Cricetulus griseus: one gene and its partners. The protein of the gene in region 2 purifies or fractionates together with the protein of the main gene of each other region. This does not show direct contact. Links are inferred from orthologs where the notes say so. Each region holds a gene or a part of one and is shown on either strand. Other genes may lie near its edges. The genes, in order: Hnrnpc, Fus, Hnrnph1, Syncrip, Safb, Sf3b1 and Ilf2.

Region 1 (4,357 bases), on a different chromosome or scaffold from region 2:
AAAACAAAACAAAACAAAACAAAACAAAAAAACCCACCAAAACAAAACAAAACAAAACTAAAAACAAAACTCACTTAAGTAGATACACATACTGTAGGGAAAAGGGCCAGCCAAAACACACTTTTGGCCCTGCAACCAGAACCAAAGAAATGCACCCTGACCCTGAAACCAGCGCCAAAGAAACACACTTCCCCTAGTAAAGCAGAGTTGTTACACTATGCTCTGGTGGACTGAAGCTGAGTTTCCGCTGGAGAAGCCCCTCCGGTCTAGAGCAGGGCTGTAAATTGCTATGATTACTGTGACCTGTCATATTCCTTGGCTCCAGATTGCCAGAACGCCAGAATCCCTACCTGTCGGATCCCTCGTAATGCTTACACACACACATAGAATAAATAAAACGTTTAATTTTTTCTTTTATTATTATTATTATTATTTTGTTTTGTTTTTGAGACAGGGTTTTTCTACCTAGCTCCGATGATCTGAAACTCCCTCTGAAGTCCAGGTGGGTGTCAAACTCAGAGATCCACATGCCTCTGCCTCCTGAGTGGTGGGATTAAAGGCGTGCACCGTCATCACTACCTGGCCAAAAAAAAAAAAAAAAAAAAAGCCCCAAATCAACACTCCCAAAAATCAACATCCCCCTTCCCCAAATTTAAATCAGACTTTCCTAGATCTAGTGTATCTCCTTGGGGTAATATCTCCCTTTCTAAGGGGGCTGTATACATTTTGGTGTGCTCAAGGTTCCTCCAGAATAACCAGAAATTCACTGGCAGGCCAGGCCTGAGGGGATTGAGTGGCCGTCAGACTATTGCAGGAAATCGGAAATTGAGGTGGCCGGCCATTCGGTTTGCAGATTTTGCAACCGACTTGGAGGGGTCCAGGTAACAGGAGAGGACTAGGTTTGGAAGGAGCTGTCTAGCCTCGTGGGCTGAGAGGCCACCTCCTCCCGGCAGCTCACACAATGTGGAAATGAGAAGGATCTGAAATTGAAAAAAACTGCAGGTCTGTCTTATCTACACTCCAGGCGGTCTAGGGATTACTCTCTTCCCCACGCTCAGGCTTACTTTGGTTTTCCTTTTCCTAGGCCCGGGGCGAGGGCAGGCCCTTTGCACCCGCTACCAGACTCCACCCAGACTTTACCACCCCCGCGCCGCGGAAATGCAGTGATCAGGGCGGATCTAGGCAGTCCACTAAGCGCCGATAGGCCGACGCGGCGTCAGTCAGGCCCGCCGGTACCCGGATGAGAAGCTGTGCGCGATACAAAGGCGAACATTCCACCCAGTTTTCCGTCTGGTACAGTGGCCAATGACCATCCTTCATACCCTAAGTGACAGGAAGCTCCACCAATTACTAACGAGCTTCGGTGACGCAGGTGGAAATTCTCGCAACTAGACCAACCTACTCCCGATCGCGATTGGCTAGCACTGTGAGGAGCGGTAGCGCCATCTAATGAGGAGCGGGAGCGAGAAAAGGCTCAGCCAATAGGAACGCCCCCAGGAGCGGGGCGGGGCTGGACCTTCGCCTCGGCGGCAGAGGAGCTCGGGGGCCATTTTGTGGAGCGCCGGAGAGCGAACGGTCGTGTGCTGCCTGCCTGCAGTCGCTTCGGAGTCTCCGCACGGAGCCGCAGTAGGAGAGGCAGTGTCTTCTCTCTCTCTCTCCGAACTCTTGGTAAGCGGAGGGGCCGAGTGCAGGGGAGGCGCGGGTTCGTGGGCGCTGCGAGCGGGTGTGGGAGCGAACGGCCTGGCGGCAGGAACGGCGCCCGCGTTGGTTCCCGTGGCCCGGGGACCGGGTCTAAGTCGGGCGGCGCCAGGCCTCGGCTCTGGCGCAGGTTCAGCCTGGTGACCTCCAGGCCGCGGGCGGCGCGGAGGATACCCTGCCGGCGCGCTCGTGTCTAACGGCCACTTTGCCTGCCTTCGACCGCCAGGACTCGGAGAGGGGAGCGTGAAAAGGAAGAAATGCAAGCTTGTTACCCTAATTGAGGTTTAATGTCTTAACGATTCCGTTATTAAGTCTTCTAAGTTCAACGTCGGGCGGGGGTGGCGGAGCGTTACGCTGATGATGTACTGGAAGCTTCCAAATTCCGGGCGGGCCACATGGCATCCGAGCGGCGTGTTAACAATAGATCGAGTATTCATTACTTTTTCTCCCGTAGGAATAAATGGTAGAAGGCGGAGTGTTTTCTGTAAAAGGGAAGTGTCACGGGTTAATTAAAATTGCAATAAAATTGCAACTTACCTTTTAATCTGCAGATTACGAATTACTTGAAATATATGTTAGTGGGACTTTGCTTGAGGTAGGTACTGCTGTCTTGAGAGAGAAACGATAGGTAAATTGGTTGACAGTATTTACTAAATTAGAGCGACTAAGATATTTTTAGGTAGGTAAAGAATACTGGAATACTGTGTACGAAAAAGACAATCGAGTTTTTAGGGGAAGCTGATAGCGAAATTAAAGGTAACCGGAGCAAAACCAAAATAGTCTTTTCCGGATATTCCAATATCCTATCAGTTCTAAACTTGGTAATAAGGAGTTTCCAGCCAGGTGTGGTATTGCATGCCTGTAATTCTTGCATTCCAGAGGCCATGAGACAGGAGGAGGATCAGTATCCATTGCAAGCCAGCCCAGAACTACACAGTAAAATCTTGGTTTTTTTTTTTGTTTGTTTGTTTTTGGCTGTTTGTTTTTAAAACAGAGGAGAGCTCCAAAGCAGTTTTTAAAAAAGCAACCCTCTGGGCCGGGCGTTGGTGGCGCACGCCTTCAATCCCAGCACTCGGGAGGCAGAGGCAGGCGGATCTCTGAGTTCTAGGATAGGCTCCAAAGCTACACAGAGAAACCCTGTCTCGAACCCCCCCCCCAAACTATTAACTCCCAGCCATTTGTTACAGCTGTTGCTAATGTAGCCCAGTGGTAGTGCTTAGGATGCAAGGTGCCCTTAATTTAATCCCCAGCACTAATAGTGTAGGGTGTCAGTTTATCTGGGAGTTAATTTTTTGTTTTAATTTTTATTTTTTGGGGACCTATTTTCTCCCTTTAGCTTTTGAGCCTGTCCTGGAATTCCCTCTTTAGACCAGGCTGGTCTGGTAGAGCCGCCTGCCTCTGTATCCTCCTGATCCTGGGATCAAAGGCCTGCCCCGCCTCCGAGCCATTTGTTTGTTTTTTCAAGGTAGGGTTTCTTTGTATGACTTCTGGCTGTCCTGGAACTTGCTTTGTAGACCAAATCTGCCTGCCTCTGCCTCTTCAAGTGCTAGGATTAAATGTGACCATCACTGCCTGCCAAGCCTCATCATTTTAAGGTGTGCCTTAGAAGTAGAATTTAAGAGTAAGATTTTGCTCTGGTGAAGTGAGAAATGGGTAAGAGAAATAGCTAGGAAGGCATCCATCAAAAATAGTGTTGTAAATAAGTGTCGGAAATTAGTATGCAAGAAGACTACTGGCAGTAGTTGAGATTGGTTAAAAACACCTGCCATTAAATGTTAGACATACAGGCCAGGTATGGTGGGGCACAACTTCAGTCCAGCGGAACTCGCTGATAGCTTATGATTTTGAGGCCAGTCTGGTCTACAAAGAATTCTCAGGCCTGGTGAGACCTTGTTTCCTCTATTTTTAGTCCTTCAAAAGTGTTAGAAATGTGGATTTCTGAATGGGAGGCAGAGGCAGGTGGATCTCTGGTGTACAAAGCTACATAGAGAAACCTAAGTGTTTGTTCGTCTCATTATTTGCTAAAGCTTCATACACTCAACTCATCGGAAGATTTATGGTTTTGAAACTAGATTTACTGGAGAATTGGCTGATTAAAAAACAACGTTCAGGTGTAGTAAAACCACAGGTGTTTCAGTAAAGATTTTGAAAAACTACAGTGGGTATAGGCTCCTGGTTAAGTCTTTACAGTTCTCAAAAGACAAAAGCTGATTTTCTGTTTAAAGTATTCTAATTTGAACAGATTGCTGTGCTCTTTACTACCAGTTTCTAATTGAGTCATAATTGTTACCTAGATTTTGTTTTTTTTGGGGGGGGGTTCCTTGTGTAGCCCAGGCTGTCTTGGAACTAGCTCTGTACACCAGGCTAGCCTCAATTTCAGATCCACCTGTCTCTTTCAAGTGCTGGGATTAAAGGCAAAAGGCATGTGCTACCACTGCCAGGCTTAGATTTTGTATTTTAGTAAGTGCCAGGTGATTTTTGAACTCTTGGTTGGCTTGATCATTTAAAGTGTCGTTTAAGGAGTTTATCTAAATCTTAGTGGGAACTTTTTTTTTTTTTTTGGTAGTATAGCCTAAAATACATTTTAAAACTTTTTCTCAGCCGGCGAGAAGTGGCCCACACCTTTAATCCCAGAACTTGGGAGGCAGTGGGAGTTTGA
Region 2 (3,438 bases):
CAGCCTCCAAAGCCACAGAGAAACCCTGTCTTAAAAAACCAAAAGAAAAAAAAAAAAAAGAGAGCGAGTTTTAGGGCAGGCTCCAAAGCTACAGAGAAACCCTGTCTTGAAAAACAAAAAAAAACCAACTAGATATTGTAACCAGAAATAGCACATGCCTTTAATCCTAGTAACCAGGAGGCAGTTTTAGATAAGCCAGGGCTATACAATTACCAGAGTCCTATAATCCTAGCTGAAATATGACTAAGTTCAAAGAATCAAATATCAAAATACCAATGACCCACAGATGTTAAGATTTAGGAAGATGTTAAAGTGACCCACTGTATGCACCGTCCTTTTTCTGAAAACTAAGTACCCATCATTTACCGCTTTCCTAGAAACCACTTAAGCATTCTTTTATCTTTTCAAGACCGAATCAAGATGATGCTAGGCAAAAACAAATGATTCAAATTCCTGCTATGCAAGATGATCTGAGGGGACTAGGGATTAGTTCCCCACATTCCTAACACAGACCAATCCTCCAGAAAGTAAACTGGGGTCAGCAACAGAATTTAACTAAAATGATGGTTTTTAATGGGAACCAGAGATACGGTTACAATTACGGTAGTCTGACACACACACAAAAAAAATCCATGGGCAATCCTGAATTGAAAGTTTACAAAATAACAAGGGTAACACTGGGTACAGGAAGAAGAGCTGTTCTTCAGAACTTCAGAAGCTGGGCTAATATGGCCTCTCCCTGCGATCCTGTCTGTGCTCACCCCTGAAAGAATTGTTAGATATGAATTACCAGACCATCCAAGCATACAACCTTCAAATATCCTACTTGTCCCTGCTACCCAAATGACGTTTCTTAAGCAAAATAACCTTAAGACTGGGTTCCTAATTCTTCTACTCCCCCTTCCCAATAATGTAAACCAGCTGAGAGCTGTCCTTTCCTAGGAAATCACTCAGCAAAATCTTATTTCCTCCCAACTCCAACCAATTGCTGTTTTTTGTTTTGATATAGACTTACTCACCTTGAGTCCATCTTGCCAGGGCCAAAACCGCCTCTGTCCCCACCACCCCGGCCCCCTCTGAAGCCCCCTCGGTCCCCGCCTCGGCCCCGGTAGCCGCCCCGATCATAGCCTCCTCTGCCACGGCGATCATCTCCATAGTTACCCCCTAGGACAGAAGAAATGACATATCAGCCTCATGCTTCTACCTTCCTTCCCACTACCTTTCCAAATCAAAAACAAAGTCTTCTTGGACTTCTATAACCAGCTCTGCTCCCTTCTTACCCATATGAGAACCTCCTGGTCCCCCTCCTGGGCCATCTGGCTTAGGGGCCTTACACTGGTTGCATTCATTTCTCCAAGAGAAGTTCATATTCTCACATGTACTAAAGAAATGAAAGGGAATTAATTTGGAAGAGTGCAGTCCAGAACATGAATTCACAAGACTCCAAGGCAAAACAAAAGTATTATTAAACCTAGACTAAAAGTATTACTAAACCCTTTTCCCACTATGGCCTCCTTTTCCATGGTTAAAATGTTTGCCACAGTTCAGTTCAAAACACATTTTAGTAATTAATGTTTGAACTCTTACCCTCACTCCAATATGTCTGCACAGGAGTCACCCATCACCGCCACGATGAGTATCCACTTTGACCCTCTCAACTGTGAGCCTCAAATTAAACACTTCCTTTATAAATTGCCCTGGTCATGGCATTTTATCTATACTCTCCAAAGTTCTAGGTATTTACTTTGAAGACTCTTAACCTTCCCTAAATAAACTATTAACTCAATCTTCCATCTACAAAATCTCATTTAAAAAAAAAAAAATCTTCCTAACTCTTAACCTAGTATCAAGATAATAATCTTAAGAACTTTGGAGGAAAAAGTCAAATTCACTCACGGATTAGGACACTTCCAGTCCCCAGCTCGTTGCTGTCCACCACCTCCACCACCTCCACTGGGGAATCCTCCCCGGCCACCGCCACCACTGCCACCTCCTCCGTAGCCTCCACGGCCCATGGGTCCTATACAAACAGAATTATGATTTCTTAGTTTGGTTAGCCTACCTTTTCCAAATTTCTTTTCCTCACCTTCCACATTGTGTTCCATCACCTCTTCAAAACAGAAAAAGTAAATGAAGTAAATGGCTCACCTCCTCGACCTCGGCCTCCACGACCATTTCCACCACCCCTATTAAAATCGGCTCGGCGGGTAGCAAATGAAACCTTAATAGGATTCCCAGAGAATTCTTTACCTAAAGAAATAAAGGTGGATGAATTATAGAAGGGCCTGCTTTAGATCCCCAGGGCAAGATGGCTTGGTGGGTGAATGCTTTGCCTAAATTCAATCTCATGAGCACACACTGTGGAGAGAGAATTAACTTCACATGGTTTGTGCACGGACCTCAATGCCTATACCACGGCATGAACATGCCTACACAGATATATAGTAAATGGTGAGAGAATTGAAAGACCTAAAGATCTGAAACACTTTTTAAAACCTAAGAGAAATGGGCCGGAGAGATGGCTCAGTGGTTAAGAGCACTAGCTACTCTCTGAATTTAATCCCCAGCATCCACATGGCAACACACCACTACCTTTAACTACAGTTCCAAGGGATCCCACACCCTCACAGACATATATGCAGGCAAAATACCAATGCACACAAAATAAATATGGGAAAAATTTTTTTAAAATCTTAAGAGTAAACTGCTTCTTAAAAAGATTTATAAACTAATGGGAACAAAGGAGACTACAGGGAAATTACAAAGTGCCTGTAAGACGGCTCAGCAGGTAAAGCTGATTGTTGCCAAGCTCTGATCACCCAAGTTCCACCCTCATGACCCATATGTTACAAGAACCAAACAGATCACTCCAAATTGCTCTCTGAATGCCACAGGTCTCTCCATATACAATATTAAAGACGAGGTGCCATCAGATCCAAACTACTCAAACAGACCCTGTTTCAAAGCCCCACCATCCACCTCCATCATCTTCTACATACCATCAAACCAGTCAATAGCTGCTTTAGCAGAAGGTGGGTCATCAAATGAGACTGTTGCCTCACCCTTCAGCTTGCCAGTTTCCCTGTCTGTATACAAGTTAATCATAGGCTGTCCAGTTTTCTTATTTGTCTAAACAAAACAAAAGAAATCATCAATTTATATAACCTACACACAGCTCATTGTTCTAAAGCATCCCTACATGCTGAGTGCACTCAGTGGTTACAGTACTTTCTTAAGCAACCATGATGGCACAGGCCCAATCTCCAGCATGGCAGCAAAACTTCACTTAACTTTCAGTACCCAAATAGTAGCATGCTATAGTTATGTTGTTTTAGAATATGGTTCTATAGTTACAAAGTACTGGTATACCAAGTTCAAAACTAACAAAGTTGTTTCAATTTGCCAATGTAGAACCTATTGAAACAGACCTCCATCTTC
Region 3 (4,310 bases), on a different chromosome or scaffold from region 2:
GGCCGTGTCAGGACTATTTGGACCAGTATGCTTCAACACCCAATCCATTTCAACGTTGTTTGACTTGAATACTGAAAGAGGTGCTTAGAATTAGTCAATTAAGTTAGAAAACAAAGTTCAGATTTCCTGGGTTTTTAGATAACTAGAAGAGCTGCCATAAACTCCCTTAGATGACCATTTTTCCATGCGGTCAAATACCTAAAATTCAGAAGGGGTAAGACCTCTATGTGTTTAAACAATTACTGTTACTAGGGCAATGTAAATCAAACCTTCAACATATCTGTGTCCCATAGTTTCTCTGTCTTTTTTCAAGGCCAATTTGACTTCATCTTCTGATTCAAGTTCAACAAAAGCCTCGCCACTCGGTCTGCCTTCTCTGGTGTAGATGAAACGAATACCTTGGGCCCCATTTTGAATTTTGCAGTCTGAAAAGAAAACAACTGTTAATACAGAATTTAAAACCTAAAACCACCCCTGGGTGATACAGAAAGTCATATTCATGTCACCACAAAAAAAAAAAAAATTTCACTCTGTAAATACTAAACCAACCACGCATTTGAACCATCAAATTACCTCAGATATATTCCTAATTCATCAAGGTAACTCAATACTCAAAGCAACTTCTAATTAAACTAGCGCCTTGCCTTCAAGTTTCCACTAACCACCTTTTTGTGCAATATTTCAGAATAATCTCATCTGGACCTGGTGACTTCACAGTATTTTCTGGTTTGGGTACCTCGTCAGCATTACTCTACCAGCAGCCACAGGATAATTTCTCATTCAAACTCCGGCCCAATACTCACCCAAGAGGGGATCAATGTTAACAACTAAAGGCTCCAAGTTGCACAGCTCAAGTCAACCCCCGTCGGCAACTGCCCCTGCAATTGCTTCCAATATACTTGGTTCTTGTTTTACAGGTTGTTTTCTGTTACCACAGCTAAATTCAGATAGTAAGGTCAACACTACAAGTACCTTTTTACAAAACCTTTTCAAAATAAAACTCCCAACCAGTCTTCTTACAACACTGGGAACAAGATTCTGGTAGCAATTATTCAAGAAGCCTACAAATGTAAAGAGAACTCTACAGTGCCGCTAAAACTTCAGCGTCCTCAGTTATGGGAGCCAGTATATTAAGTAATTAGATCTAGAGCACAATTATGAAAAATGAACTTTCTGAAGCAGAAAGCCCCTTTACAAGTGAATATATGCAAACACCTGCAGTAGGACTTCTAGAGCGAGTTAATTACTATTATTTATCCAACTACTGCTTGTCAATTTTTTTTCTCAAATGTGAGGGAGAAATTACATCTTTATTTAAATCTTCCGAAAAAACAAATTCGGAATGGATGGATGGATTGGTGCTTAGAGACAGAAAAGATGAAAAATTCCGCCGGGGCGCCAGCATCCCCAGGGGAGACGGGGGGGGGGGGGGGTTGGATTTTGCAATTATCCTTGCGTAACAGCAGGCAGCAGGGCGCGAGCAGCCAGCAGAACTAGTGGCCGCGCCCCGCTAGGGGGAGCCCGTGAGGTCCGCCCCGCCCCGCCCCAGCCCAGCCGCGGGCTCCACTGACAACTCCCGCTTCAACTCACCAGAAAAAAACCGCTGCACTTCATCCGCGGAGCAGGACCAGGGCAAGCCCCGGACCTTCACCACGAAGCCCTCTCCACCTTCTGCGCCCAGCATCATCGTCTCTTCGTGGGTCCTGGCGTCGAAACAGACTGCAGGGCGCGGGGGTGGGGGTGGGTGGGGGTGTGTGTTAGCAACAATCTGAGAAATAGTCATTTAAATGGCCCTCCCACTTCAAGGCGCCCTGCGGGCGCCGCGACAGGAGCTCCGCCTGTGCAGATGCCTGAACCCTGGAAACTCAAGCATGCAACCCGACCTCAGCTAGCAACCCGATGCCCGAAGCCACTCTGTGCGCTCAGTGTTGAGGCCCTAAGCTAAGGAGATCCCGGCCTAGAGCCCTGGTGGAGGCAAGGAAATGGCGGCCGCCGCTTCCGCTCCGCCTCCTCAGACACCTCACACAATAGAAGCGGCGCGGCCTGCAGGCCTAGGCGGCGCTGCCACGCCGGCGGGACACCCGCGGCTCCCTGTGGTAGCCTGAGCTTGCCACGGCCCCTCTGGTTATAACCTAGGTTCGGGGATAAGCAATCGTCACAAAAATAGGGGTCCGCGAAGGGCTCTAGCAGCAAACGAAGTCAGACGACCACTCACCTCCACACAAAGCCTCGGCGTGGCTGAGGAGAAGTGATTAGCGGGCGCCTGCGCAGCCTAAATAAAGCCCTTCGGACAAGCTCTGCGCACGCGCACCCTGTCGTCTGCCCCGCCCACTTGCGTCACACAGAGATTAGACGCATGCGTAGTGTCAAAAACCGGGCCCTCTTCCCGCCGTCAGATTATTACACGCATGCGTTTGGGCTCAACCTTCTTCATAAACTGGCCGTGGCTTTTTTTTTTCCGCGCCTGCGCCTTTTTGCAACTATTGCGCTTGGCGTCTCAGCGGTTTATCGTTTTGCTTCATGCGCATGCGTCTTCCTTCAAACCGTTCTCTAGACATACCCGCCAGAGTGGGGGAGGGGAATGGCGACAATCAGCTCCCTGTAGGGACTGGATAGTAACCCGGAGTTCGCGGTTTGCAGAGTCTGTTGTTCTACCCTTAATCCGCAGCTTTGCACCCCGGCTCCTGTCAGTTTTGAAAGCCAGCACGAGGAAAAGGAAGTCCTAGCCTTTCTTCCCCCAAACCGATGGGAGCTGAAGAGCCGAGCATCTTCTAGGTGCCGCCCCACCCCTGCGCGCAAAGCCGTTGTCACCGCGGGGCACCCGGTGCCTGTCCCCTTACCTGCCGTTTTGGGGGGCTCAGCCCCGGGCCCAAACGGGCTGCAAGTGCCCGAGCCAGAGTCCTGTACCCCACTTTGCCCAACGAACTCGCACTCTGCGAACCCCTCGCACGAGAAGTGCTCTGTATGCTGCGCCTCGCGAGCGAAGGCTGAGTCCAGGACTCAGCCCCGGAGCTCTGCGGCACACCACCGTCTTTCCCAGGTGAAGTCACCGAGGTCGAGAATGCCCCCGGGTCACCCCGTGTGCACAGACAACGATAAATGCGTAAAGTTACTGCATTCAGAGCAGAACTGCAGAGAACGGATGATGCCCGGAATCTCTGGATTTGACTATCTGACGCACCCCAGCCAGCCCTTGTAGAAATTAACAATGAAACAGTGTTGGGCGGCGCCACAGAGTGGTAAACCACTGAGTGCCATCACAAGAGGTTACAAGCAAAATACATTTTCCTCCCAAGTGCAATATTAAGGAGACCGAATGTGTTTTGGATAGTTTGATAAAAATGGAGAGCCCGGCGGTGGTGGTGCATACCTTTAATGCCAGCAAAAGTAGGCAGAAGCAGACAGATCTCTATGAGTTCAAGGCCAGCCTGGTCTACAGAGCGAGTTCCAGGACAGCCAGGGCTACACGGATAAATCCTGTCTCGAAAAAACAAAGAAAAATGGAGGACTCAAAGGAAAAGTGCGCAGACTCGGCCATAACTCGACTCGTTAGGCCTGCACAAGGGTGTTAAGTATACAGGAGGGCATCATAGCCTTCAGCTAGAGAGCAACAGGAGCTGTGTAACGAGAAACTTCAGGTGCAAGGGAAACTCAGATCAAACAGGCAGGGAGAATAACGGTGCATGACCTCATCTGTAAAGGATCTAGAGAAGATGGAAAACACTCTCTGAGATCCTCGAAAGGTGAGTCTTTCCATCAAGAAGGCTGATGAAAAGCAAGAACACAAGTCCAGCCCAAGCGGAATGCAACTTCGAGACCTGCTTGGGCAACAGAGTGCGTTCAAGGCAGCCTCAGAAATTTAGTGAGGAACTGTCTTAAAAAGAATGCGGGAGAAATCTTAATGGTAGCGTGCTTCCTAGCATGTACATAGTGGAAGAATGCTAGCCTAGCATATATATTCTCCCCTACATCATGAAATCGATTGCCAAAAAAAGGACTCTAGTTAATTACAGCATTTGAGAGCCCTGGTCTTATTATTGGTTTATGATTAGATGGGAGGGAGCGATGCATGCTAGAGACAGAACCCAAGACTGTGCAAACCTGCTCTACTCCTGAACTACATCTTGAGACACACATACCTGTTTATGTTTTAGTCGTCTTTCTCACTTTGCACAGGGGTGTGCCCATATTCCCAGCTACTTGAGATGCTGAGATAAGAGAATCACCTCAATTTAGGACTTCCAGATATTCACCTAAACGGAGGGGGGTTAGTTAGAGGGGGTTGGGAGGAGTTGTGGCAGGCAGCGATT
Region 4 (3,566 bases), on a different chromosome or scaffold from region 2:
TCTTAAAAAGACAATAAGACAAAACTAAACATGGAAATACATCTGCAATTTGAAATCAGTCTGTGAAATTATTGCACATCCCTTCCTTGCTTTGTATTTATTTCCCATCTCTTCCTTGTTTTGTGTTTATTTCCACACTTTAGCTGTTATTTGCCTGCATGTATGTCTGTGAAGTTGTAAGACTCCTGGAACTGGAGTTACAGGCAGTTGCGAGGTGCTTTGTGGGTGCTCTGAATTGAACACCTGGCCTTTGGAAGAACAGCCAGTGCTTTTAACCACTGAGCCATCTCTCCAGCCCCCTAGTGGTTTTTAATTCTTAGATATGAATGAAGCCTTTTCACCTGTGTTAAAGGAACAAGTGTTAAAAGCAGAGACATATTGTTAACATGGTACTTTTGTTTTTTTTAACATTAATCTACCTACAGTGTTGAGAAAATTATCTTTCTGTTAACAGTCTGTAGAAACATAGAAAAGTGTTCTGCATTAACAGTATTTACTATTTTCCTTTGAAGAATGCCATTGTTATTTGAGAACAGAAAAAGATGCCATTTAAACCAATTTCAGAGATGGTAAAATATGAATAAAAAAAAAGCAAAAGGGTGGTGGATGTAGCTCAACCTAGGTAAGATTTTTACTTAGGCTGAAGACCAGGGGTCTTCACGTGACCATTCCCTCCCAAATAGAATTTTAATGCAATGAATTAATTTAATCATGTTTGACAAAGAGATAGCATTTTTTTAGATGAGCAGACGAATTTTATTTGTCTTATACCTTAGTGGAATCAAAATGGTTCCCATGGCTAGTTAAGTAGTTTGCTTTTGTTGGGTTTTCTGGGCTAGAAAGCTAGGGTAGGGTTGGGTTGATTTGGAAAATTAATAATTTTTTTTTGTGGGGGAGAGTATGTCTCTTGCTTTTGTTTTTTGTTTTTATAGAGACAGGATTTCTTTGTACCAGCCCTGGCTGTCCTGAACACACTCTGTAGAGCAGGCTGGCTTTGAACTCACAGAGATCTGCCTGCCTCTCTGCTGGGATTAAAGGCATGTACCACCACCACCTGGCTTTTGCTTCTTTAAAAGATAATTGCTGTTAGTAAAAGTTTGTATTTTTCATGTTTTATTTAAAGAGTAGCTTATTAAACACAAATTAATTGCTAGTTAACCTACTTTTCTGGGATGTTTGTTTAATTTCAGAGGGTCTCACAGATGTCATTTTATATCACCAACCGGATGACAAGAAAAAAAATAGAGGCTTTTGCTTTCTTGAATATGAAGATCACAAAACAGCTGCACAGGCAAGGCGTAGGTTAATGAGTGGTAAAGTCAAAGTCTGGGGAAATGTTGGAACTGTTGAATGGGCTGATCCCATAGAAGATCCTGATCCTGAAGTTATGGCAAAGGTAATTACAGTAAAGTAAAACAATTTTTATTGGGTTAATAAGAGGAGCATAAGAAAAAACTTAGTAAATGAATTGTTTGCATTGTTTTAAATGTTTTTGAAGGTAAAAAGTTTACTAAGCAATTAGTTATACACTAAAAAATGTGAGTGCACGGAAGGTATTCTAGAGCACTTTCTTTTGAATATTTGAGGGTGATGTAATTAATTTTATTTTATTTTTTTATGAGTCATACCCTGTAACAAAACAAAGGAAAAAAATCAAATAAATGAATTATTATTATTTTTTTTTTTTTCAGCAAACAGTTGAGGGTTAACTCTTGAGGTAACTCTTGAGTGCAGTTTGGATATTCTGTCTTGTCTTTTAGGAATCCCTTTAATAGTTAAAAGGTCATGTTTGCTTAAATCTATAGAAGGCAGTTTTAACTATTGGGAGTGCTGACTACTATTGAACAATTATATTTTGAGAAATTTTCAGGAGGAGGGAGTTAGATGTTCCTGGAAATTGAACCCAGGATCTCATGTGTGATGTGTCAGCAAGCTTTTTTATTTTTTAATTTTATTATGTATACAGTGTTCTGTCTGCATGTATGCCTGCAGGTCAGAAGAGAGCACCATTATTGATGGTTGTGAGGCACCATGTGATTTCTGGGAATTGAACTCAGGATCTTTGGAAGAGCAGGCAGTGCTTTTAACTGTTGAGCCATCTGTCCAGCACAACTCCCAGGATGTTACTAGTATTTTAAAGCACTTTATCCAACATTTCAAAAGCAGTCTTAGGTTTCGATAATCACCATTATAGTATCCCAGAAATTATATTACTGTGCTTTGATTATCTCTATCCCTCAAATCTTGACAGCCCTTCTTCCCTTTTACCATTTCAGAATGTCACATGATTGGTATCATGCCTATATAGATTTCTGAGAGTCCGTGGCAACATTTTAAATGTCCTCTTTTTGTGAATTTTATGTCCTGGCTATCCTGGAAGTCCTTTAGATTCCCCTGCCCCTGCATCCCAGATTCCCCTGCCCCTGCCCCTGCCCCTGCCTCCTGAGTAGTTGGAATGCTGGGATTGAAGGCATGCAACACCACTCCCTGACTTATAGCTAAAAATTCTGCTTTGTTTGTACATTCATATATTGAAGGGATATCTTTTTACTGTTTGGGGGGAGTTATGAATAAAGCTGTTAGAAGCATCTGGATGCAAGTTTTTGTAGGAACATAAAACTTAACAACTCTTCAGTAAATATAAATAGGGAGTAATAACACAAGATTATAAGATAAGAATATGGTTAGTTTTATAAGGAACCGCCTTAAACACAGGGGCTGCATCAGTTTACACCCCAGTTTTTGTGAATGAAAGTTTATTTCTTCCTAATCCTCAGGTTTGAAGCTTTAAAGTGTTGTAATCCCAACATGTTTCTAGGTTGTTTTTGTTTGTTTTCAATACAGAGTTTCTCTGTGTAATAATAGCTCTGGCTGTCCTGGAACTAAGAGATCCTCCTCCCTCTGTCTCCTGTGTTCTGGGGTTTAAGTAAGGTGTGTAGTGTACTTCAGCTTTAGCTTGCTTATCTGTTAATAATTGAACACATTTTTCGTGGTAGAACTTGGTTTGGTAATACCTTTATTATTGTTTCGGTTTTTACTTTTATCAGCAATTTCACTCTTTGGCATTTACCCACAGGAAATTAAAACTATATATACTTACTGGTTGTGTTTCAAGTTAACTTTGTAGGATGGGGTGGTTGCTTTTGGAAATTGAATTCTGGAAAATTTGCTTTTTTATTTCAGGTAAAAGTGCTGTTTGTACGCAACCTTGCCAATACTGTAACAGAAGAAATTTTAGAAAAGTCATTTAGTCAGTTTGGGAAACTGGAACGAGTGAAGAAACTAAAAGATTATGCTTTCATTCATTTTGATGAGCGAGATGGTGCAGTCAAGGTAAAAAAGTGGTAGAAATTTCATAGGCATCTAAAGAGACCAATATTTTATAGTCTTAAAATCCCATGCTTAATAAATTTGATGCAAAGTTCAAGTTATGAAATTTAGTCAAGCAAACCATTTAAGTAAAAATAGCATCGAGGAAGATCTTTAATTATATTGCAACCATGTTTTATCTAATTTTGACAGAGGTTTCTAGAGTTAATGTTAAATATTTTTCAAGTTTTAAACTA
Region 5 (4,011 bases), on a different chromosome or scaffold from region 2:
TGCCCTCAAGGCACACTCATCTACTGGCTGTGTCATGGCCTCAGACCTTGCTATCCTGTCCTGGGAGTTGTAGTGGAAAGACTCTAGAAGTCCCATTTCGCACCCAAGGATGTCACTTGCTCATCAGGGGCCCAGCACAGCCAGGGCACCAAGTATGTCATGCCTATCAGTATTAACTGTGTCAACTATAACCACTCGGGACCCTGAGGCCTCTCCCTCCCTGCACAGCCATGTCAACACTGCCCCCAGGGAATGAAATGAGACACTTTCCTGCAGCATGCCCCTCATCCTGGGGATGTCTGAAAGTTGCTGTCCTCAGACCTCCATTAGGCCCCAAGCTCACACAACTTTTCCCAGAGCTCTTTCGAGGAGGCCTCCTGTGGTGCAGAAGGGCACAGAGGTAAGCCAGCAGGGGCACAACCCTGGGACCAAAGACAAGTGCTACCAGCAGCCCCTGCCCTCTCTCTGGGGACAGTTGGTTTTCAAACATCCCCAGGGTGAGGGACAAGTTGCAGGAAGGTGTCTCATTTCATCCCTTGGGGTGGTAAGACAGGGCTGTCCCTCCCAGGCCACCTCAGCAAATCCTTCTACCAGCTGCTCCTCTGCCCCTGTTAAAAACAACAGGAGACTGCTACCAGCTGGGTGACAGAGGCAGAAGGACAGGATCGCAGACCTGCCCTCAGATCTGACAAACAACAGGGTGTGAGTGGAGACAAGCACATCACCCTGACTACCGGCTCCCGCACCCTGCATGTCCTGCAGATGATAGCAGTGAGGGAGCGTCTTGCCTATGATACCAGTGAAGATGCAATGCCCACAGAAAAGGAAAGGAAGCTGGGGCTCAGTGGCTGGAGAGCTCACCCTGGTCTCCTCACGCATGCATCTATGTTACATGCCCATATGCACTATGTATGTTTGTGGGTCAGCGGCCAGGGGGCCAACTCAGCTGTCCTCACGGCACCATCTACTTTGTCTTACGGACTTGGCTAGAACAGCCAGGGAGCCCCAAAGGTCCTCCTGTCTCTGAGCACTAGCTTGCGACTGGCACCCCACCTGTCCTTTTCTGTGGATGCTGGGGACATAACACAGGCGTCACATTGCTGCTTCCTCCTCCTTTCCCTGTCAGCTTCTCTAAACAGTCTCAGATCCAGGAGGGTAAAATGAATCTCTGGCTTCTGTGTGTAGGGGTGCACGGGCAGGATGCCATGTCCAAAAACTAGAGGGACAGCTTCCTAAAGTGTGACACACACACACACACACACACACACACACACACACACACACACACACACTATCTCCAAGGTGGGGCTCAGAGTCCCAATCTACAAACGACAAAAGGTGGCCCAAGGAGACTGAATTTGTTGTACTGCACCAGGCTGCATGTCAAGCCCATGTCCACAAGACCCTGCCCTTCCCTAAAGGAACAGACTCAGAAGACCAAGACTGCCAAAGTGGGCAGTAGAGATGCCCCTCCACCTGCCTCTGGGACACATCCCATAGTCATCTGTCCTCTGACTCCAACCTGACTACATCCGATTGTATGTGCTATGGAGTGGGTGGCTCTGAGGGTCTTTGCTATTAGGGGCAAGCATGCTACCACTGAGCTATGTGCCCAGGCCTCTTTTTAGAGAGACGATACAAAACGATGTTTTTGAGACAGGGTCTCATTCATCACAACAGGGCCCCAAACTTCTGATCCTCCTGCCAGGTACACACCACCACTCCCAGCCTCAGGAGGCACTTGGAGCAGAACTCAGGACTTGGTATATCCAAGACAAGCACTCTACCGAGTAGCCCTTGGTCCCTACTTTTTATTTGTAAACAGTCTTGCTAAGTTGCCCGGGTTTGCCTCTCTCCCTACCCCCAGTCCAGGCTGGCCTTGGACAACCTCTGGCTAGCCCTGAACTCTGCTGCTCAGGTCGGTTTTGAACTCCCTCTGTAGCCTGGACAGGCCTTGAACTCACGTCTGACATGCCTTATCACTAACAAAACATTCTTTCCTTCAAGCACGTACCTCCCCTAGTTTAATCCTGGCAAAAAAAGTTAAAAACTTCCATCCCCTGGGCTATCCTCCGGTTTATTAACTCTGAGGGTCCCTGAAGTTTCGTATCCCCACGGGTCACTGTGTATCTTCCAAGAAACCAAACCACCCACCCACAGGTTCGGCCTCGAGAGCCGAAAAGGGACTTAGGTTCGAACCCTGCCACAGGCTGACCCTGCTGGGTGACCTTGGCCGAGTACCCTCCATCCCCCTGTGGGGTTGGGACTAAGCAGCGCAGGCAACGCGACGTCACCGACACCCGGGTCCGCGCCCGTGGTGTTCTTGCCTGCTGGTGGCATCGCCGCGGCGTTGGGATTCGAACTCCTCCCCGGCGGCCGCGGGGCCGGAGCGGAAGTGCGCGGCGCGGAGGCCGCGGGCCGCCCCGGACCCGGCGGTGGGCGTCGCCATGGCGACCGCAGGGCCCTCGGCGAACCTCACCTTCTTCAGCCGCTCCATCAGCACGCTCTTGTTGCCGCTCGAGTCGAGGTTCCGCTTCTTCAGCTCCGCCCGCAGGTCGATCACCCGCAGGTCGCTGAGCCGCCGCGTCTCGGTCTCTGACGCCGCGGAGCTCACGGCCGCCGCGCCCGCCGCACCCGCGTCTCCTAAACCCGACAGAGTCTCCGCCATTCCAGGGACCCTGGTTCCGTCGCCCGCTTCACACAGAACCGGGTCGGTGGGTTTGCGTGCGTGTATTTTTTGGATTTATTATTATTATGTTTTTGAATCTCGGCTCTCTTACCACAAAATGGCGCCGCCTGAGAGGGAACCGCTCCAGCCTCCCCTGAGGCGCACCTCGTCACTGCGCAGGCGTGCCCGGCGCGAGACGGACACGCTCAGACGCCTCTGCACAAGCGCCGTGAGCGCGGCGGCGGGCAAGGCGCAGGCGCGAATCGCCGGGTCTCCCTCTGCCGCCAGCCGCGACGCATGCGCGCTGCAGTTGCTGCGCCTGCGCGCTGCAGTTGCTGCGCCTGCGCGTTGGCGTGGAGCGTGGGAGTGGGGCCGGCCGGTATCGGAACCGCGGCAAGCATGCGCAGCCACGAAGCCGAGCGAGAACTCCAGATTGGGACAGTAGCGGCGCGCATGCGCAAGCGGAAAGGGGGTGTGAACCGCGGACAGGCGGCGCTGACGACCGGCTGCTCATGCGCATTCGTACGAGCGAGGCTCGCAAAGCTCCGACGTACGACCGGAGCGGTACGTCAGACCGGTGCGCACGCGCATTCAGCGAAAAGACGTGAGGCGGCGCTTGAGACGGGTGGTGCATGCGCATCGGCGACGCGAGGCTGGCGAAAACCGGGACGTGGGGCCGAGGCGGCGCGTCGGAGCGGTGCGCCTGCGCAGCCGCAAAGGGAGGCGGGAGGAAGCGGTGCGCTTTCCTCTTAGGCGGCGCCATTTTGTGCTCCGAGCCCTCCGGCGGTGGGCTGTGCGTGTGGATGAGGCTGCCGAGCGGGGCGGGAAGTCGCGCCGGCGAGGATGGCGGAACCTGTCACCGGGTCGGGCGACCCCGGCTCTGGTCCGGTCGCCTCGGAAACGGGAATGCGGCGACTCAGCGACCTGCGGGTGATCGACCTGAGGGCGGAGCTGAAGAAGCGGAACCTGGATACGGGCGGCAACAAGAGTGTGTTGATGGAGCGGCTGAAGAAGGTGAGCGGCAGTCCGTGCTGGCGCCGGGGACCCGGGCGTCACTGCTCCCTCAGACGTGGGGCATCCCAGCCCGAGCCTTCATCTCGGTGTGAAGTGTCAGGCACCGAGGGAAGGAGCGAGGGAGCCGAGGCTGTGTGACCTTGGCCAGCCTCTGCCCGTCTCTGTGTCTGGCGGTCCTTTGGCCCCAGAGTTTGCACGAAGCCCGGGCTGGGTGAGTGAGGAGCGCGGTGCGCTTGGGCAGGTCTTCACGACCTTGCGTGTCTGCAGCTCCCTCCCCTGCTGCCATCTCAGTGGACTCTTGTGGAGAATGCCAGGTATCCTCGTGCACG
Region 6 (4,001 bases), on a different chromosome or scaffold from region 2:
AAGCCAGGACTACAGAGAGAAACCCTGTCTAGAAAAAATAAATAAATAAAACAAGCAAACAAAACCATATATATTTCTATGTTACGTGTTTAAGTGTTTTGCCTGCATTTTTGTATGTTTACCACATTCTTGCAGTGCCTACAGAGGCCAGATAAGGACATCAATACCTTGGAACTAGAGTTAACAGTTGTGAGAGACTATGGTGCTAGAATCGAATCTGGTTTTCTGGAAGAGCAACCAGCCTTTAACCTTTGTGTCATCTCTCTGACCTCTTCTAGACAGCTTCTAATGGTGTTTCTTGTATTTTCCACTGTCTGGAATCTGGAAGCTTTTTTTTTTTTCCCTCCTGGAGACCTGTCTCTCAGTGTAGCCCAGGCTGTCCTGGAACATGTTCTGGCCTCGAATTTAAGAGATCTCTGTTGATTTAAAGGTGTGCAACAGTTGCCAGCCTCCACACACAGCTAATTTAATGTTTGTGTCCATGCCCCAGGCCAAGTTTCATAGCAATCTGACTTCTCAATATTCAACCTTCCAGAGTCAAGTGGGAACTGGCCTTCTTTTTGTTGCTTTTTGGGGGGGGGAGGAGGGAAGCCCAGACTGTTTTCACACTGGTTAGGTAGCAGAGGCTGATTTGAACTCTGGATCTTCCTGTATAACCTCCGGCCCCAGCATTTGTTAATTGACTCAGTAGAATCTATTTTCTTTTTCTTTCTTTTTTGAGTTTTTCTATACAGGGTTTCTCTGTGTAGTTCTGGCTTTTCAGGAACTGGCTTTGTAGACCAGGCTGGCCTCGAACTCACAGAGATCCTTGCCTCCTGAGTACTGGGATTAAAGGCGTGCGCCACCAACACCCGGCTCCTTTTCTTTCTTTTTTGAGTTTTTCTATACAGGGTTTCTCTGTGTAGCTCTGGCTTTTCCGGAACTGGCTTTGTAGACCAGGCTGGCCTCGAACTCACAGAGATCCCTGCCTCCCCAGTCCTGGGATTAAAGGCGCGCGCGGGCGTTTCCCTTCTATTGTGTTCTCTTAAGAATTTAGTCCTTCGGCGCGGAATCAACCGCAGGCTTTTTAAGGAAGCCGCCCGGAGGCGGCCCTGGCCCCTCCCACTCCCATCATGCACCAAGCGGTTCCATCTAGGTGGCAGTTGAGTTGCGTGCCATAGTGCGGAGCGCGTTCCCGTGTGCGCACGCCTAGAGCGCAGCTCCTCTGTTTGTGCGTGGCGGCGGCGGCGGCGAGCGGAAGTCCTTGGGAGCGCCAGTTCCGCCTGTGTGTTCGAGTGGACAAAATGGCGAAGATCGCCAAGACTCACGAAGGTAAGCGGCCTCGGCCTTTCCCTCGCGCGTCCTGGGCTGCCAGCCTGCCGCGGCCCGCTCTCCTGGCTTTCGGCGACTTGGCGCGGCCTTTCTGGTCTCGGCCGAGTCCGCGCGGCGGAGCCTGGCTCGGCTCCTCGGCGCAGGCCGCTGCCCGCGTAATGGCGTCCTCTCGCACTCCGGGACCGGCGCTTTGTTCCGCGCTGGCTGCCGGCGTTTCCCAGTTACCTTGTCCTGACCCGAGGGCCTCCCTCGAGCGCCGGGCCCTGGACGTCCCCCGGGGGGGGGGAGCGGGGAGGCGGACGTGGGAGGGAAGTCGCTGTCGCCCCCACGGGCGCCGTGGTTGGCAGTTTGCAGCTGGGAAGCCCCGAGTGGCGGCAGCCGCTTTCCGGCTGCTCCACACGGAGTCGGCTCCGACGCAGGCCCGTTGCTCCGACCTCGGCGGTGCAGGCGTCTCCAGGCGGCCAGGCTGTGTTGTGGTGGTGCTCGGCACCCAATGATTCGGGCGGAAGATGCGGTGGCTCACTCCTTGAGCCACTTCTCGTGTAGTGTTTTTTTCTTTGAGGGACTGATTGCTAGAGAGAACACCAGACGGAAGAGAGGCGGAAAGGCAGATTTTATCCGTTGCCTAGCTGTGCTTTCAGGGTGGTAGATCATTTTACGGTGTATAGCGGGAACACAGCTCGAAACCCTGGAAGTAGACCGGATTCCATAAGAAAGTAACAAGAAGGCAGGAAGGAATTGAAGTGTCTGAAGTTGAAGCCCCGTGTCTTGGTTCCTGGCTTACAAACCAGAATTTACGCTGACAACATGGCTTCTAAGAGCCACTAAACACATCCTTTCTTGGTGTGTGGTCCGGGGTTAGAGATAAGAAACCAAGGATATAGGAAATTTGACGGTTTGCTAGGGAAACAGATATGTGAATCTTAATTCTCTTAGAAAAAACAAAGGAACGTGTACAGAGAGGTAAAGCCAGTACTTTCTGAGAGGCTGGTAACGGAGCCATTAATTTATGCTTTAGTTATTTTTGAGAGGTGGTGACGCGGTGCTGATCTAAATGGATCAGTTTTAAATTAGGGGAGGACGTCTGAGCCCGGAGGGAACATCTTGTAACAAGTCAGTGAGTCGTGAAAGATGTGAATGAGTCGTTGCCGTGGTAGGAAGAGAAGGTGTAAGGAGGGAACTCGGAGATGAATCTAGAGAGTGAATAGCACCAAGAGGTTAGATATAGTTGGGACTTTTTGAGGAAATGAAAGTACCAACACTTTTTAAAGCCAGAAATGTTCCGGCCTTAGTCTTTAAACCTGAAAGTACATGTGGTTTTGTTTTCTTTCTATATTGAGATGTAGTCTCACTATATGTTGCCGTGAAACTTACTATGTGACAAGACTGGCCTCCACTCCAAAGAGATGCATCCACTTCCCTCTGCTTCCCAAGAGCTGGGTTAAAAGGCGCCCTGTGCTTCTATGCCCACCTAATCCAACACGGCCCCCCCCCCCCCAGACAGGGTTTCTATGTGGCTTTGGAGGCTGTCCTGGAACTACTGTTGTAGACCAGGCTGGTCGAACTCACAGAGATCCGCCTGCCTCTGCCTCCCGAGTGCTGGGATTAAAGGCGTCCACCACCAACTCCTGGCTCCAACACTTTTTAAAGCCAGAAATGTTTTGGTCTTACTCTTTTGTCCTTAGACTTTCTCAGACGTTGTTTGCAAAATAACTAGAAAATTTAAGAATGTTTCCGTTTTTGTTCTTTCAGAGGTAGGTTATTTATTTTTTTCATTCTGGGAACTAATGGAGCATGGAGTGAGGGGGAGCGGTGTAACTGACAGGAACGTGGCTGACCCCAAAGCAGCCAGCCCCACTAGAAAGTTTTCACACTCCATGATGGCTTCCCCATAGGTGCATAGATGGGAGTTCCATCCCCTAATGTTATTTATTTATGGGCATTTTGTAGCTTTGATTGTTGGCTTAATGTTTTTTATGTAGCAAACCTCTGTTTAGATAAATGTAAAGTTTTTGTTTTACTTTTTCATTATAGAAGCCCAGCTAAGCTTGTTGAGCTTGTTGGTTGATTGTAGCCCATTAGCAAAAATTGTTGTTTTGAGATTGTTTTATCACTGAATTAAGTGCTGCAATAAAAAATCTGTACAAGTGCTATTTGAAAACAGGGACCTCTATGTCACCCATAGGTACAAGTCAGAAGGTGGTAAGTGCCCTCCCCCCATCCTGATTGCTCTGTGTAGACCTTGCTGTCTTGTAGACCAGGCTGACCTTGAACTCAGAGATCTACCCACTTCTGCCTCCCAAGTGCTGGGATTAAAAGATGTACACCACACTTCCTGTCAGGGTGATAACTTTTTAGTAGAACTGTATACAGCATTTGCATAGCCTCTTGCTCCTTTATGACATTTTTCTTGAATATAGTTTTTGTTTGTTTTGTTTTTTTTTTGACACAAGGTTTCCCTGTGAAGCACTGGCTGTCTTGGAACTGTAGTCCAGGCTGGCCTTGAACTCAGATTTGCCTGCCCCTGTCTCCAGGTGTTGGGATTAAATGCAAGTCCCACAAACTCCCTTCAAGAATAAAGGTTTTACATTTTTCTTTAAGCCTTTTTTTTTGGAGACAGGGTTTCTCTGAGTAACAGCCCCAGCTGTCCTGGAACTGGACTGGCTTGTAGACTAGGCTGGCCTCAGATT
Region 7 (3,993 bases), on a different chromosome or scaffold from region 2:
GAAGTCTAAATCCATGATAGCAGAAATCCAGAATGGTTACCTTTCTGAGGTCACAAACTTTTGTTTTTTTGAGACAGTATCTCACTATCTGGCATAGACCGGTTATGTAGACCAGGCTGACCTTGAACTCACAGAGATCCTCTTGCGGCTGCCTTCCAGGTGCTGGAATTAAAAGCGTGTTCCACCATGCTCCGCCAAAATATTTGTTTTGAAAAAATTTTCTGTTAAATTTATTTATGTTGTGTTTATGGGTGTCACCACAGCCACAGCACACATAGTGAGGTCAGAAGACAATATGTAGAAGTCGCTGCTCTCCTTCGCGTGGGTCTCAGCAGCTTACACCTGCTGAGCCACCTTGCGGACCCGATAAAATATTGTTTATTTTAATCTTGGTGGGGTTAGGTTACTTGGAAGAAATACACGCCTACAAAAGTACACAACACATCAGTACTTGTCAGAATCACACAACACAGGGAAGTGGGGAGGACGGGGTGGAATTCGGGGAGGGGAAAGACATGATCAAAATATATTGCATGAAAAGTATTTTCAATAAAAAGAACTGTATAACAGTAATAACATCGAGGGAATAATTGTGGTAAATAAGACTCAATTATCCCTGATATTTTCGTAGGGTAAAATTATGTTTTCAGGTGAGGTGGCACACCACTGACATGCAGGCACTTGCAAGGCTTGAGGACGTAGAGATTGCTGTGAGAGTGAGGTCAGCTCGCGTTCCATTAACGAGAACTTTGTAAGCCGGGGTGACCAAGCGAGATGCTGTCTGGAAAAAGCAAAACCAAAAACAGCTGGAGAAGAAAAGACAAGTTTGTTTTATCAAAGCGAAGGCAGGAGGCCGTAGGAAAAAAACAAAGTCTCCGATAGCAGAGGATGGTTTCGATCCATCGACCTCTGGGTTATGGGCCCAGCACGCTTCCGCTGCGCCACTCTGCTATCCACTGCTCAAACCCCTTACTGGGCCCATAGAAGACCTTTACTAGGTCACAGTCCGGATTCTGAGCGCCCCCTAACGTTAGTGTAGAAAATTGCCTTCATCCCCGCTATTGTCTTCCTATTGGTTGGCTCCTTATAGGGCATTTTTTTCATTGGTTGCTGAATTGACCAATAATCACAAGGGACGGAACGAGGCGGGAGCCTATCGCGCCGGCGTTTGTTGGGACGCCCTGGCAGACGCTTCTCTGCGGACCTGATTCTTCTAGGGAAAGGGCGGTTTAGTGTCCTCCATTGTTCAGGATTAAGCGAGCCATGAGGTAAGTGGACAGAGGTTCCTGAAGGCTCCTCCAGAAACCTCGGGAGGGCGGCCTGAAACGGAGGCGGAGGACCAAGGGCCTGATTGTGGGCGCCTGGCGGCGAACAGGCCGGCGAGAGTGGAGTTGGAGGAGGCGGGTGGGGGCGGGGAATCGGGCCTGGAGGGGGCTGGGCCCAGCCTGGGAGCTGGTTTAGCACCTAGGGCTCGGGATGGTGTGGAGAGCCCTCACGGACCAAAAAGAGCATCCTCGGTCTGCAGGGAGAAGGCTGGAGCGCTGCGCATTTTCTAGCGCCTAGTGTTTGACCAGTAGGACGTGCCTGGTAACTGTTAACGCTGTGCTGAAAAGAGAAGGCACTTTACTCTGTTAGGATTGGCGAGTCTCACGGTCGTGGGTCGCTTGGTAGGGGTATGTGTGTCAGTCAGGGTCTTCACCTCATATTTTCCTGATGTGAGCTTTGATAGAATCCAGAATTAGAAGTCGGGTGTAGTGTCGCGCGCCGCAATCACAGCACTTGGGAGGTAAGGCAACAGGAGTACATAGGACCCTGTCTCAAAAACAAAAGGGGAAAAAAAAATCCAGAATTAAGACGTCGTGGGGGTGGCGTTGGGCACCATTTGGAATTAGGGAAAAGTGACTTCAGTAGTTAGAAGCGGTTGAGGTAAGTCAAATTGAATTAATGTGGCTGGTATGATGGAGACGTTTTTCAGCTAGGTGAAAGTAAAATGTATGTATTTTTTAGGGGTGACAGAGGACGTGGTCGTGGTGGGCGCTTTGGTTCCAGAGGAGGCCCTGGAGGAGGGTGAGTGTGGCTGTTTGCATCTTTGCCCCGGTTTGTTCCAGTCATCTAAATAAAGGTTTGGAGTGGACTGCTGAACTTGATTTTTGTGAAGGTCATGTGAAGCATTTCTTTTCCTGATATTCTGCTAAGTAACTTTAGCCTTTTGCTAAGAATGATATGGCTCAAAAACTCTGGAATTCGCCGGGCATTGGTGGCGCACGCCTTTAATCTCAGCACTCCGGAGGCAGAGGCAGGCGGATCTCTGTGAGTTCGAGACCAGCCTGGTCTCCAGAGTGAGTGCCAGGATAGGCTCCAAAGCTACACAGAGAAACCCTGTCTCTGAAAACAACAACAACAAAAAACAAAACAAAAAAACCCCAACTCTTAAAAGACAAAGTTGGTGAATTGTGTACTCACTTGCTTTCTGTTTAAATAATTTTGGATTGTTTTTGTGTTTCAGGTTCAGGCCATTTGTGCCCCACATCCCTTTTGATTTCTATTTGGTGAGTACTTGGCTTTGTGGAGGACTTTTCTGCCCACTGTGCAAAAAAGGGAGCACAGAATCTCCTTGTTAATGAAGTCAAGTATTGTTTGGAGTAGATTTGTGAATGAATATGGTATTGTTCATATTATGGTACAGAAATATGGTTCATAATATGATACAGAGAAAGAGAGTCTTTCTCTGTATGCCTGGCTGGCCTGGAACTCAGTGTAGACCAAGCTGACTGCAAATTCACCATCCTCCTGCCTCAATCTCCTGAGTGCTGGGACTATAGGCATGCACTGTCACATGTGGCTTAAGTTTTTATTTATTTAGTTTGAGTGCTAGGGATTTGAACCTAGGTCCTTAGCATGCTAAACCTACAACTCCAACTCCTAGTTTTATTTTATTATTGCTATATTTATTCATTACATATCACTATATAGGTATATAATATGGCTGTATCAGTAGACACAGGTTTGGTTCCCAGCACTAATATCATAGTGTACATCTGTCTGTAATTCTAGTTCCAGAGGATCTTATGTTTCTGTTGACTTCCACAGGCTCCCAAACACAGGTGCACATACATACTCTGAAGTGTTCACACATATACAATAAATAAATAAATATTCAAAAACAAAGCAATTGGTCAGCCAGTTTTCAAAGTGGCTGTAATACTTTTGTAATCCCAGGAATGGATGCCTATGACAGGAGGACCATGTTCAAGGTTTAAGATCAGCCTGGGATACAATAGTAAACTGTCTCAACAAAAACAAAACCGAGAAAACAGTGTAAACTTGGTAGGGAAGATAATTTCTTTAGTTTGATATTTAATATTTCTTCTATTATATTTGGTTATAATATAAAATAATTTTAGGATTTAATTTTTTTGTTGTTTGTTTTTTTTTTTTTTCGAGACAGGATTTCTCTGTGTAGCTTTGGAGGCTGTCCTGGAACTAGCTCTTGTAGACCAGGCTGGTCTTGAACTCACAGAGATCCTCCTACCTCTGCCTCCCAAGTGTTGGGACTAAAGGTGTATTTAATTATCTTTGAGACAGTGCCTGTATATATAATTTTGTCTGGTTTGGAACTAATAGGGATCTGCCTGCTTCTGGTTCCTGAGTTGCTAAGGGTGTGCACTATCACACACACACACACACACACACACACACACACACACACACACACACACGGTGGATCATACCCCCCCCCCCCAGGATTGTTCTGTGTAGCCTTGGCTGTCCTAGAACTCACTATGTAGACCAGGCTGGCCTTGAAACTTACATAGATCTGCCTGTCTCTGCCTTGTCCTTCCCCACCATGCTGAGATTAAAGTTATGCACCAACATGGCCCAGCTACAGTGGATTCTTTTTATTTCATGTGTATGTATACCCCCTTGTATGCCTGGTCCACTTGGAGGCTAGGAGAGGTTGTCACATGTTGTGAGTTGTCATGTGTGTGCTAG

Evidence for each region.
Region 1: the proteins of Fus (region 2) and Hnrnpc purify together in Homo sapiens (affinity purification with mass spectrometry; 3 studies listed by BioGRID and IntAct, with this or other methods). This does not show direct contact. The link is inferred for Cricetulus griseus from reciprocal best matches to the Homo sapiens genes FUS and HNRNPC.
Region 3: the proteins of Fus (region 2) and Hnrnph1 purify together in Homo sapiens (affinity purification with mass spectrometry; 4 studies listed by BioGRID and IntAct, with this or other methods). This does not show direct contact. The link is inferred for Cricetulus griseus from reciprocal best matches to the Homo sapiens genes FUS and HNRNPH1.
Region 4: the proteins of Fus (region 2) and Syncrip purify together in Homo sapiens (affinity purification with mass spectrometry; 3 studies listed by BioGRID and IntAct, with this or other methods). This does not show direct contact. The link is inferred for Cricetulus griseus from reciprocal best matches to the Homo sapiens genes FUS and SYNCRIP.
Region 5: the proteins of Fus (region 2) and Safb purify together in Homo sapiens (affinity purification with mass spectrometry; 3 studies listed by BioGRID and IntAct, with this or other methods). This does not show direct contact. The link is inferred for Cricetulus griseus from reciprocal best matches to the Homo sapiens genes FUS and SAFB.
Region 6: the proteins of Fus (region 2) and Sf3b1 purify together in Homo sapiens (affinity purification with mass spectrometry; 3 studies listed by BioGRID and IntAct, with this or other methods). This does not show direct contact. The link is inferred for Cricetulus griseus from reciprocal best matches to the Homo sapiens genes FUS and SF3B1.
Region 7: the proteins of Fus (region 2) and Ilf2 purify together in Homo sapiens (affinity purification with mass spectrometry; 3 studies listed by BioGRID and IntAct, with this or other methods). This does not show direct contact. The link is inferred for Cricetulus griseus from reciprocal best matches to the Homo sapiens genes FUS and ILF2.

The regions. Positions count from the first base shown.
Region 1 is NW_023276807.1:207,170,358-207,174,714, reverse strand, and holds the start of Hnrnpc (heterogeneous nuclear ribonucleoproteins C1/C2), read left to right. Parts: upstream 1-1,512; 5' UTR 1,513-1,668; intron 1,669-4,357. UniProt on the Homo sapiens protein: Binds pre-mRNA and nucleates the assembly of 40S hnRNP particles. Interacts with poly-U tracts in the 3'-UTR or 5'-UTR of mRNA and modulates the stability and the level of translation of bound mRNA molecules. Single HNRNPC tetramers bind 230-240 nucleotides.
Region 2 is NC_048596.1:72,795,930-72,799,367, forward strand, and holds the end of Fus (RNA-binding protein FUS), read right to left. Parts: intron 3,130-3,438; coding exon 3,000-3,129; intron 2,251-2,999; coding exon 2,149-2,250; intron 2,021-2,148; coding exon 1,897-2,020; intron 1,382-1,896; coding exon 1,281-1,381; intron 1,165-1,280; coding exon 1,020-1,164; intron 764-1,019; coding exon 724-763; 3' UTR 551-723; downstream 1-550. UniProt on the Homo sapiens protein: DNA/RNA-binding protein that plays a role in various cellular processes such as transcription regulation, RNA splicing, RNA transport, DNA repair and damage response. Binds to ssRNA containing the consensus sequence 5'-AGGUAA-3'.
Region 3 is NC_048600.1:64,833,187-64,837,496, reverse strand, and holds the start of Hnrnph1 (heterogeneous nuclear ribonucleoprotein H), read right to left. Parts: upstream 2,865-4,310; 5' UTR 2,841-2,864; intron 2,354-2,840; exon of another isoform or gene 2,216-2,353; intron 1,720-2,215; 5' UTR 1,688-1,719; coding exon 1,591-1,687; intron 426-1,590; coding exon 270-425; intron 72-269; coding exon 1-71. UniProt on the Homo sapiens protein: This protein is a component of the heterogeneous nuclear ribonucleoprotein (hnRNP) complexes which provide the substrate for the processing events that pre-mRNAs undergo before becoming functional, translatable mRNAs in the cytoplasm.
Region 4 is NC_048597.1:198,378,368-198,381,933, reverse strand, and holds part of Syncrip (heterogeneous nuclear ribonucleoprotein Q), read left to right. Parts: intron 1-1,190; coding exon 1,191-1,396; intron 1,397-3,183; coding exon 3,184-3,333; intron 3,334-3,566. UniProt on the Homo sapiens protein: Heterogenous nuclear ribonucleoprotein (hnRNP) implicated in mRNA processing mechanisms. Component of the CRD-mediated complex that promotes MYC mRNA stability.
Region 5 is NC_048598.1:96,961,525-96,965,535, forward strand, and holds the start of Safb (scaffold attachment factor B1), read right to left. Parts: upstream 2,817-4,011; 5' UTR 2,669-2,816; coding exon 2,480-2,668; intron 1-2,479. Other genes in the region: Safb2 (scaffold attachment factor B2), read left to right, coding at 3,512-3,682. UniProt on the Homo sapiens protein: Binds to scaffold/matrix attachment region (S/MAR) DNA and forms a molecular assembly point to allow the formation of a 'transcriptosomal' complex (consisting of SR proteins and RNA polymerase II) coupling transcription and RNA processing.
Region 6 is NC_048595.1:409,474,942-409,478,942, reverse strand, and holds the start of Sf3b1 (splicing factor 3B subunit 1), read left to right. Parts: upstream 1-1,155; 5' UTR 1,156-1,283; coding exon 1,284-1,311; intron 1,312-4,001. UniProt on the Homo sapiens protein: Component of the 17S U2 SnRNP complex of the spliceosome, a large ribonucleoprotein complex that removes introns from transcribed pre-mRNAs.
Region 7 is NW_023276806.1:64,074,734-64,078,726, reverse strand, and holds the start of Ilf2 (interleukin enhancer-binding factor 2), read left to right. Parts: upstream 1-1,136; 5' UTR 1,137-1,263; coding exon 1,264-1,268; intron 1,269-2,007; coding exon 2,008-2,067; intron 2,068-2,506; coding exon 2,507-2,549; intron 2,550-3,993. UniProt on the Homo sapiens protein: Chromatin-interacting protein that forms a stable heterodimer with interleukin enhancer-binding factor 3/ILF3 and plays a role in several biological processes including transcription, innate immunity or cell growth.